Arabidopsis thaliana: one gene and its partner. The protein of the gene in region 2 interacts with the protein of the main gene of each other region in a pairwise test. Each region holds a gene or a part of one and is shown on either strand. Other genes may lie near its edges. The genes, in order: AT1G26660 and SAUR19.

Region 1 (3,926 bases), on a different chromosome or scaffold from region 2:
CCGGAGAAAGAGTTAGTATTGAACAAACTAAGTTAATTCTCTGCTTTAAAAACTCAAAACAGTAAGCAGAACAAATCGAGAAGATAAGACTGCAAGAGAAAATCCTCAACTTTCCACTAGGTAGTGTACTAAAACGCACGTTGCCGGGATGACGGATTCTCTTCAGGAAGATTGAGTATTTGCTGAATCTGGTAATGAGCCTGCAATGGTAATTTAACATTAATACTTATCCGATGACACTTTCATATATCCGTCTGATGCAGGGTTCCTACGCAATAGTGATTTTCTAGTCCAATTCAACCTCATAAGACAAATGATTGACTACTATCACAAAGCAAGATAAGAACTTGAACTTACCAGTTTGATGCGCCCTTTGATCTGCGTAATAACACCAGTATACTCTTCTAGTTGTCTGTTAAAAACAAAAAAAACCACATTTATATTGCATCAACATTCAGTCACTATACTGCATTCCACCGGAGAACTCATTCATCATATACAATGATACAACCATATTTTCCTTGTACATGGAGCAAGAAAACTAGAAAAGCAAAGATTTCTCTTACTTTTGAGTTCTTTCCTCCCTTTGTGCTATATAGTCAAGAGCTTCTTGCCGTGTGAACTCCACATAAAAGCCGAGGCCTACATCCATGAATATGTGCCGAGTATCTGGCCTGAACTCAAACAAACACCCAAGTCAAGTGAAACGAAATCAGAAGCAAACCTGGTAGAAAGCATCTCCTATTTTAATCCCCATTTATTAAACGTTTTCTGCTCAATAATACATAACTAGCTTCTAACATACAGAACACAGTAAAAGCACACTTCTTAATTGCATTAAGCTGTGTATGGAGACAGTGTATTTCATTGTATGCAGACAATGCATGACCTTTCATAGCTAAATGACTTGACTAAAATTAAACGAAAGAACCAAAGCTATAAGTAACGTACACTTCAGCTTGCATGTAAACTTCTGAACCAAGGTTGACCCTTGTTTTGAGACTATTTACACCATTCTTCTCCAGAGTTTCTAGGTTTTTCCGCAAGTCAGAGCTGGAGTGGGAGTAACCGTCAAGGAAACAAGAATATTTCAACCGAATTAGATTTCACTAGAACAGCAAAGTATTGTCAATAACTACACCAAGAAGAGTTCCTCTCGATTTAGAAACACAAAACTAAGTCAAAAACTGACTGGTAAATGAACCCGTCATCTTTGATAGGGTTAAGACATGGGAGAAACTAACAAAACACTTAGGATCAGCTTAACAAGATGATGCACATCACGAGAAGCTAGAGTCTTCCCTATACAAAAGGATACAGTGTTTTTTGTTCTTCAAAGATCTTGTCCCTGCAAAACCAACAAATGCAGAGACCACAATGAATCGAAACCTCAAACAAAAAGTGAATAGCATGCAAAGAAAACAAACTAAACTAATCCTACATACACTTTAATATCATACTCACAATTTTAATTTTGATCTGAAAAGGAAGTAAATATAAATACCGTGAAGCAGTTGCATGTACAAGCTTCTGTTTCAAACCTTTGTCGATAATCTCCTCCAACAATTGCAAGTCTTTTTGACGTCCCTCCTCCATTACTGCAATGCGAACATAAACATATCAAGCTTAAGGCTCTAACCATCCCCTTGTTTATTTGATAAACTTAGTCCAGAATAAGTTTCTAGAGCCTTGAAATGTTCGTTTCAGAATCTAGAGTCACCTAACCATCAATATCTAAATACAAGCTCGGAGAGCGTCGAAACTATACAGAAATTGCATCAAACTAATACGTAGAAGCATTTCATCGAACAGGTGGTGAACATCCCCAAGAGAGAACACAAACCACGTAACTACACTTTAAATATGAGAATCAAATTGGTTTCCAAACGAAACCCTATCAAAAATACATTCAAATACAGAGAATCCAACTCGATAAACGAGAAGGAATCTGAAAATCACAAAATTAGAGGTACAGATAACAGCAAAGGTCCAAGAGTATTTGACTCACGAGTCACGAGCAAAGAGATGAAATAGGTCCAGACACGTCACGACCGAACGACGGTGATTCTTTTGGTGACAGTGATGTTGAACGACGGTGGTTGTGACGGCGAGTGGCGACGCCGCGACGGTGAGGGAGACGAAGAATTATTTGGTGGTTTTACAATTTGACCGCTCGAGCACAGATTATTTAAACCATGCGAACCGGTTTGTTCTTACTTTTGGTTTTAATTTCAAGTCCTTTGTAATATAATTACCTTGCATAAAGGCCCACCTACTTTTTAATTTTACTATTTTACGCCCAAGATTTTCAAGACTCAATCAAACTGGCTAAAAAGAAACAAGAGCAGAACTATGAACGAACTTGGGATGCTATATAATCTTCAAACAATGTAAACAGAGAAACCATATATAACAAAAACCTTAAAGATGCATCAAGTTTCAAAGTGAAACAAAAAGTGCTCAATAAAACCCCATTTGATGATATACAACTTCTTCTTCAGCTAATACGTTTCCATGTCCATTCACCGAGTTTGATCCGCACAACGCACCATTACTCAGCATCCACAACCGTAACCGTTTCCATGATTGGCTGAGTTTCACCTCTAGAAGCTTCCATACTATAATAAACTCGGCAGCTAAAATAGAACACTGCACTCATCATCGAATCTATAAGTGTCACAAAGGAATACATCAACACCAAAAGAGGTCCTTCCCATAACCTCGAAGAGCCATCTCCATAACTAACTTTCTTCACTCTGTGATCAAACAATCCTTCCACAAACGCCAATCCTAAAGTTGATCCAAGGAACATCAACAAACCAACCTGAATCTGCCCTTTGATCAAATCACTAGCTCTCATCAATGCTCCTAACCCTGAAACATCTTCCAAAACCGAGATCACAATCGCAGTGTTGCAGATTATAATCGCGTTAGCGAAAACTACAGAGAAGGCTAAACCAACTAGCATAGCTCCATAAACATTGAAATCTGGAGAGAAGCCGAGAACAGAGAAGGAACTGCAGATTGCTACAAGAAGAACGCAAAAGAAAGTGAAGCAACCAACAATCAGAATGCAAATCCAAACGTAAGTGAACACAACTCTCCTCCATATCTTCTGCAATATAACCAAGAACTTGCTTATATCAACTACTTCCCTCGAGTAAGAACAATCCACTGAGTAAACCACAGCTGCTTTAGACAACAGAGACACAGTGATAAACACAGGGAAACACATTGCAGACGAAACAGCAGTTTCAGCGAATTTCTGACAAGAATGTTTGACAAAAGGCTGCAAAGGAAGACCACTTGATTTCGCCACTAAAAGAAGCTTCACTGTGAGTTTATTCACTAATGATTGATCAACTAAAAAGTTTGGTAAGAGCAAAGCAGAGACAGGACAGATCAAAACAGCAGTAGTTAACATTAAAGCACCAAGATTGTACCGGAGAATTCGAACTGTTTCTCTTAAGATCTCTAACGCATTTGAGGAGTGAAATTGTTTGTGACTGTATGATTTTAGCTCCGGTTTCCGTAAAACCTGATTCGTTTCCGTCTCCATGTTTCCGAGAGTGAAGTGTGTTTTAGCTGAGTTCGAGATTACATACCATAAAGGTTGATTTCACAAGCAGCGGAGATAGAAATCGAAGCAAAGAGAAGATCTTTCAGATAACCCAGGAATCAAATTGAAAAAAAAAGACGAATCTTGGAACGGATCTTGTCTACGTTCCAACAATAATTTTGATTAGAGAAAACAAAAAATGTAAGATTTCCAATTTTGTCGGTGGCACAAGTGAACGTGCTTTTGTCGGAGGTAATCTTCTTCTACTCCATCGCGAACTTGAAGCTAAACCGCTAATTTAACTGAAACCTTAAAACACTAAACCATAAACCCGGTTTGAAAAAATTGATCAATTTGGTTAGGCCCA
Region 2 (3,395 bases):
CTAGTCTGTAGAATGTAGACTTGTGTCCAGCACATACCCCTATTAACTTTATACAAGCTACATGTTTGAAAACTTAGCTAAAAAAATAAAAATACTACAGACTATACATGTTTTTTTTTGGGATCAAACTATAGAATATACATTAGTACTCTAAAATACCAAAAGAAACATGCATATATGTATATTCAGCGTAACAGATACGTATCAATAAATCATTGAAGAAAGGGATCGGATCCAGTCCACATCAACCCTAACTAGTGCGTGTCTCTATAGTTTTCCTTTTTGGGCAATGTATACTTGTCTTTATTATTTGGAAGGAGAAAGCAATGTTATTTATAGAATAAAATACAAACAGAAGTTTGGAATTCAAAAGTAAATTTCTTTTCCTTTTTGCTTGACAATATCTTGAAAACTATAATCAAATGTCACTGGAGACATCAACTAAATGTAACCCCCACACTATACGTAAGAGCCAGCCACTGATAAATTGTGTAAGTTAAAAGTGGTCATTTGTTATTTGTTTCCGTCTAATTCAGAGTAGCAAACAAATACTAAAACCGGATCTGAAATTCTCGGTTAGAGTAACAAGAATCCCGAACCGGGGGTAGTGCATCAAAAGGCAAAAATTGGAAATAAGCAGGTAAAACAAAAAGATATCCGGAATAAAGTTCGGGGGATTGAACCCGACGTGAATCGAACACGCAACCTTCTGATCTGGAGTCAGACGCGCTACCATTGCGCCACGGATCCGGATGTTAGATGTTCCACTTAATTGTTTTTAATCAACATGAAACTATAATTAGAGTAGTTTTTTGATTGATGAATTTGGTGTCGTCTTTCTTTTTCAATGAGCGATCAAAAATGTATTGACATGAAGTTTGTATATAACATTAATTTTGTATTTCACTTTCTACACTTTTAGAACAACTCTTTCAAGAAGAAAGAGAAAAAAGCTCATGTATTTACAATGAATAAGTCTATTTCTAACTGAAGGAAAAAATGTTGGATCATCTTCATTGGAGCCGAGAAGTCACATTGATGAAAGTATCTTCGGGACAAGGGATCGTTAAGCCACCCATCGGATGAGCAAACCCAAACTCTTCTTCGGATTTACTGAGCAGAGCTTGAAATGACGGTTGGCTCAAGTATGAGAGCGGCACCAAATATCTCTTCTTCTGGCTCTCTCCTACGTACACCGCAAGAAACCCTTTTGGTGCCGCAGATCCTGCTGCGGTGGAGCGGCTTAGAATCTTCTTTGCTCCCAATAGACTTCTCACGAAAGCCATTTTTATTTTATTTTAAATAAAAGAAGTTTGAATTATTATGAAGCTCTTGAAGATGTATGAAAAGATTCAAGTTATTGGAATGCTTGTTGTTGGTTGATGATAGAAATAATGGGGTTATGGGTGTATATATAGAAATATCAATGAACGATTTGAAACTTCTCTGAAAAAGTCATTGAAACTGTGGTCTTGAAGCGTGGGACAGACTAGAGCAAGAGTTCACATGGTTCTGTCTTTACCATCTGGAAAAGATGCATTAATGAAATTTATCTACTTAAATAATCTCCATGTGAAATTTCACAAGGGCTTGCTTTCTCAATGTTTCTGAGATAAGACGTGCCCTATATTTGCAAGAACAAAGACAGCAGGTTCTGTGATGATTAGGTGGTTGGTTCTTTGTCCTATAGTACTCTAATCTCTGCAGTCGAAATGGATTTATTAAGAAGTTAAAGTGGGGACCTGAATGTTATTCAACAACAGAACAACAATTCAATGTCACTCTCTAGTTGTTCTTTGATTATATCCACACATGAAAACTAAAAGAGACTGAATACCTCACTTCTTCTCTTCATTTATTATACAGACATGGAGAAGACAGACCCTTGTGAAGTGATGATAATGCTCATTAGCTTCCGTTGTCAACTTGTCATCTATCATACCTAAAAAACAGAACCATGTGAAACTATCTTTGTGTATGTCTCACCCCTACTTTGAATGGTTTCAGGGTGATTTGAAGTCTTTTATCAATCTATTTATACATCCAGAGACAGAACCAACTCTTCACCAAGTAGTGAAGCAATCCAGACCTCAAAATTTTGAGCATCTAACTTTTTCTCAGAAGCTTCAAATTTAGATTTTCCAGACTCAAGAAATGGCTTTGTTCAGAGGCCTCTTGAGTTCAAAGAAGATTATCGGCTTTTCTGTAGAGGCTACAAGCAAAAGGACAGTTTCAACACCTATTTTATGTAAAACTATTATTTTATGAAAATCTATATTTGGAATATAACCAAAAATGTATATCAATATGATCCTGCATAGTAAAGACACTCACTTAATAACCAATTTTTTTTCACTTTCTCACATCTTAGAATTGATGTTTTGAGAGTTTCGTATACTACAAGAAACCCTTTTTAGCACTCCCTGAGCGAATTTAAAAGCCTCTCGGAAATCTTCTGAAACTTGTGGATGTAAGAGTGGACACATAAGAAGAGAGTTTAGATGGTTTTGTCGTCCAGATGCTAACGTGATAAATGAATGTGGATACAAAAGACGAGCAACGATAAGCTAAACTAGACTTCATGAGGGTTTGAGTTCGCTACATTTGCTTGTGGTTCTTGGTTGTGATTTCTCTGGTTGCTTTTGTCGTACGTCCTGATCTTAATATTTGAAGAAGGAGACGTGGCTCACTTGACAAATGCTAGGAACAGACCAGTCTCGGGTTTTACGGATCTTATGCAATAGTCTGCATGCAGTATCCAGTATCCACATTAATTGTTCTATAACATGTTATGATAGTAAAACCATAGGAATGATCACAAATCATGACAAGAAAAGCCTAAGGAAATCAAAGAAGCTTAATATCGCATAAGTGATTAATAGCATTGAGCCATTAATGATCTTACAACAACAAGAGTCTCTCAATGTTATTTGGGAAAACATCGAGATCATTGAGAGAATCGAGTCTGAGCCCTTTAAGTCGTCTATATAGGTCATTTGCAATTCCTTTAATTTTGGTTACTCTAATACTCTTTCTCTTTGGATCAAAATACACCACATGGAAGGATTCATACACACTCATTGGCGTATAAACAAACTCACCAGCATCAGTAACACCCTTCAAAATTAAACACGCCCATTCTTTGTCAGACAGAGGAAAATTCAAAGACATAAAGAGACATATTTCAACACCAACGGCCATGGAACAAGGCCACCTACACCATCATCTTCACAACCTTGAGCTTCTCCAAAACATTTCTCATTGGATCTCATGATAAAAAGCCAGAGAAGTAATAAGCAAATGGCTGGCAAGTTCTGTTCTTGATTGTGATTCTCTGCTTGATTTTGTCCGTTTTTGAATATGAATAAGCAAACGTGGCTCGCATGAAAAATGCT

What was found.
Region 1: the proteins of SAUR19 (region 2) and AT1G26660 interact in a two-hybrid assay, tested with the Arabidopsis thaliana proteins (one large-scale study listed by BioGRID).

Annotation. Positions count from the first base shown.
Region 1 is NC_003070.9:9,209,968-9,213,893, reverse strand, and holds AT1G26660 (Prefoldin chaperone subunit family protein), read right to left. Parts: upstream 2,131-3,926; 5' UTR 2,009-2,130; intron 1,599-2,008; 5' UTR 1,597-1,598; coding exon 1,505-1,596; intron 1,390-1,504; coding exon 1,285-1,389; intron 1,054-1,284; coding exon 952-1,053; intron 675-951; coding exon 567-674; intron 413-566; coding exon 358-412; intron 201-357; coding exon 129-200; 3' UTR 19-128; downstream 1-18. Other genes in the region: AT1G26650 (Son of sevenless protein), read right to left, coding at 2,552-3,559.
Region 2 is NC_003076.8:5,962,020-5,965,414, forward strand, and holds SAUR19 (SAUR-like auxin-responsive protein family), read right to left. Parts: upstream 1,387-3,395; 5' UTR 1,287-1,386; coding exon 1,014-1,286; 3' UTR 754-1,013; downstream 1-753. UniProt on the Arabidopsis thaliana protein: Provide a mechanistic link between auxin and plasma membrane H(+)-ATPases (PM H(+)-ATPases, e.g.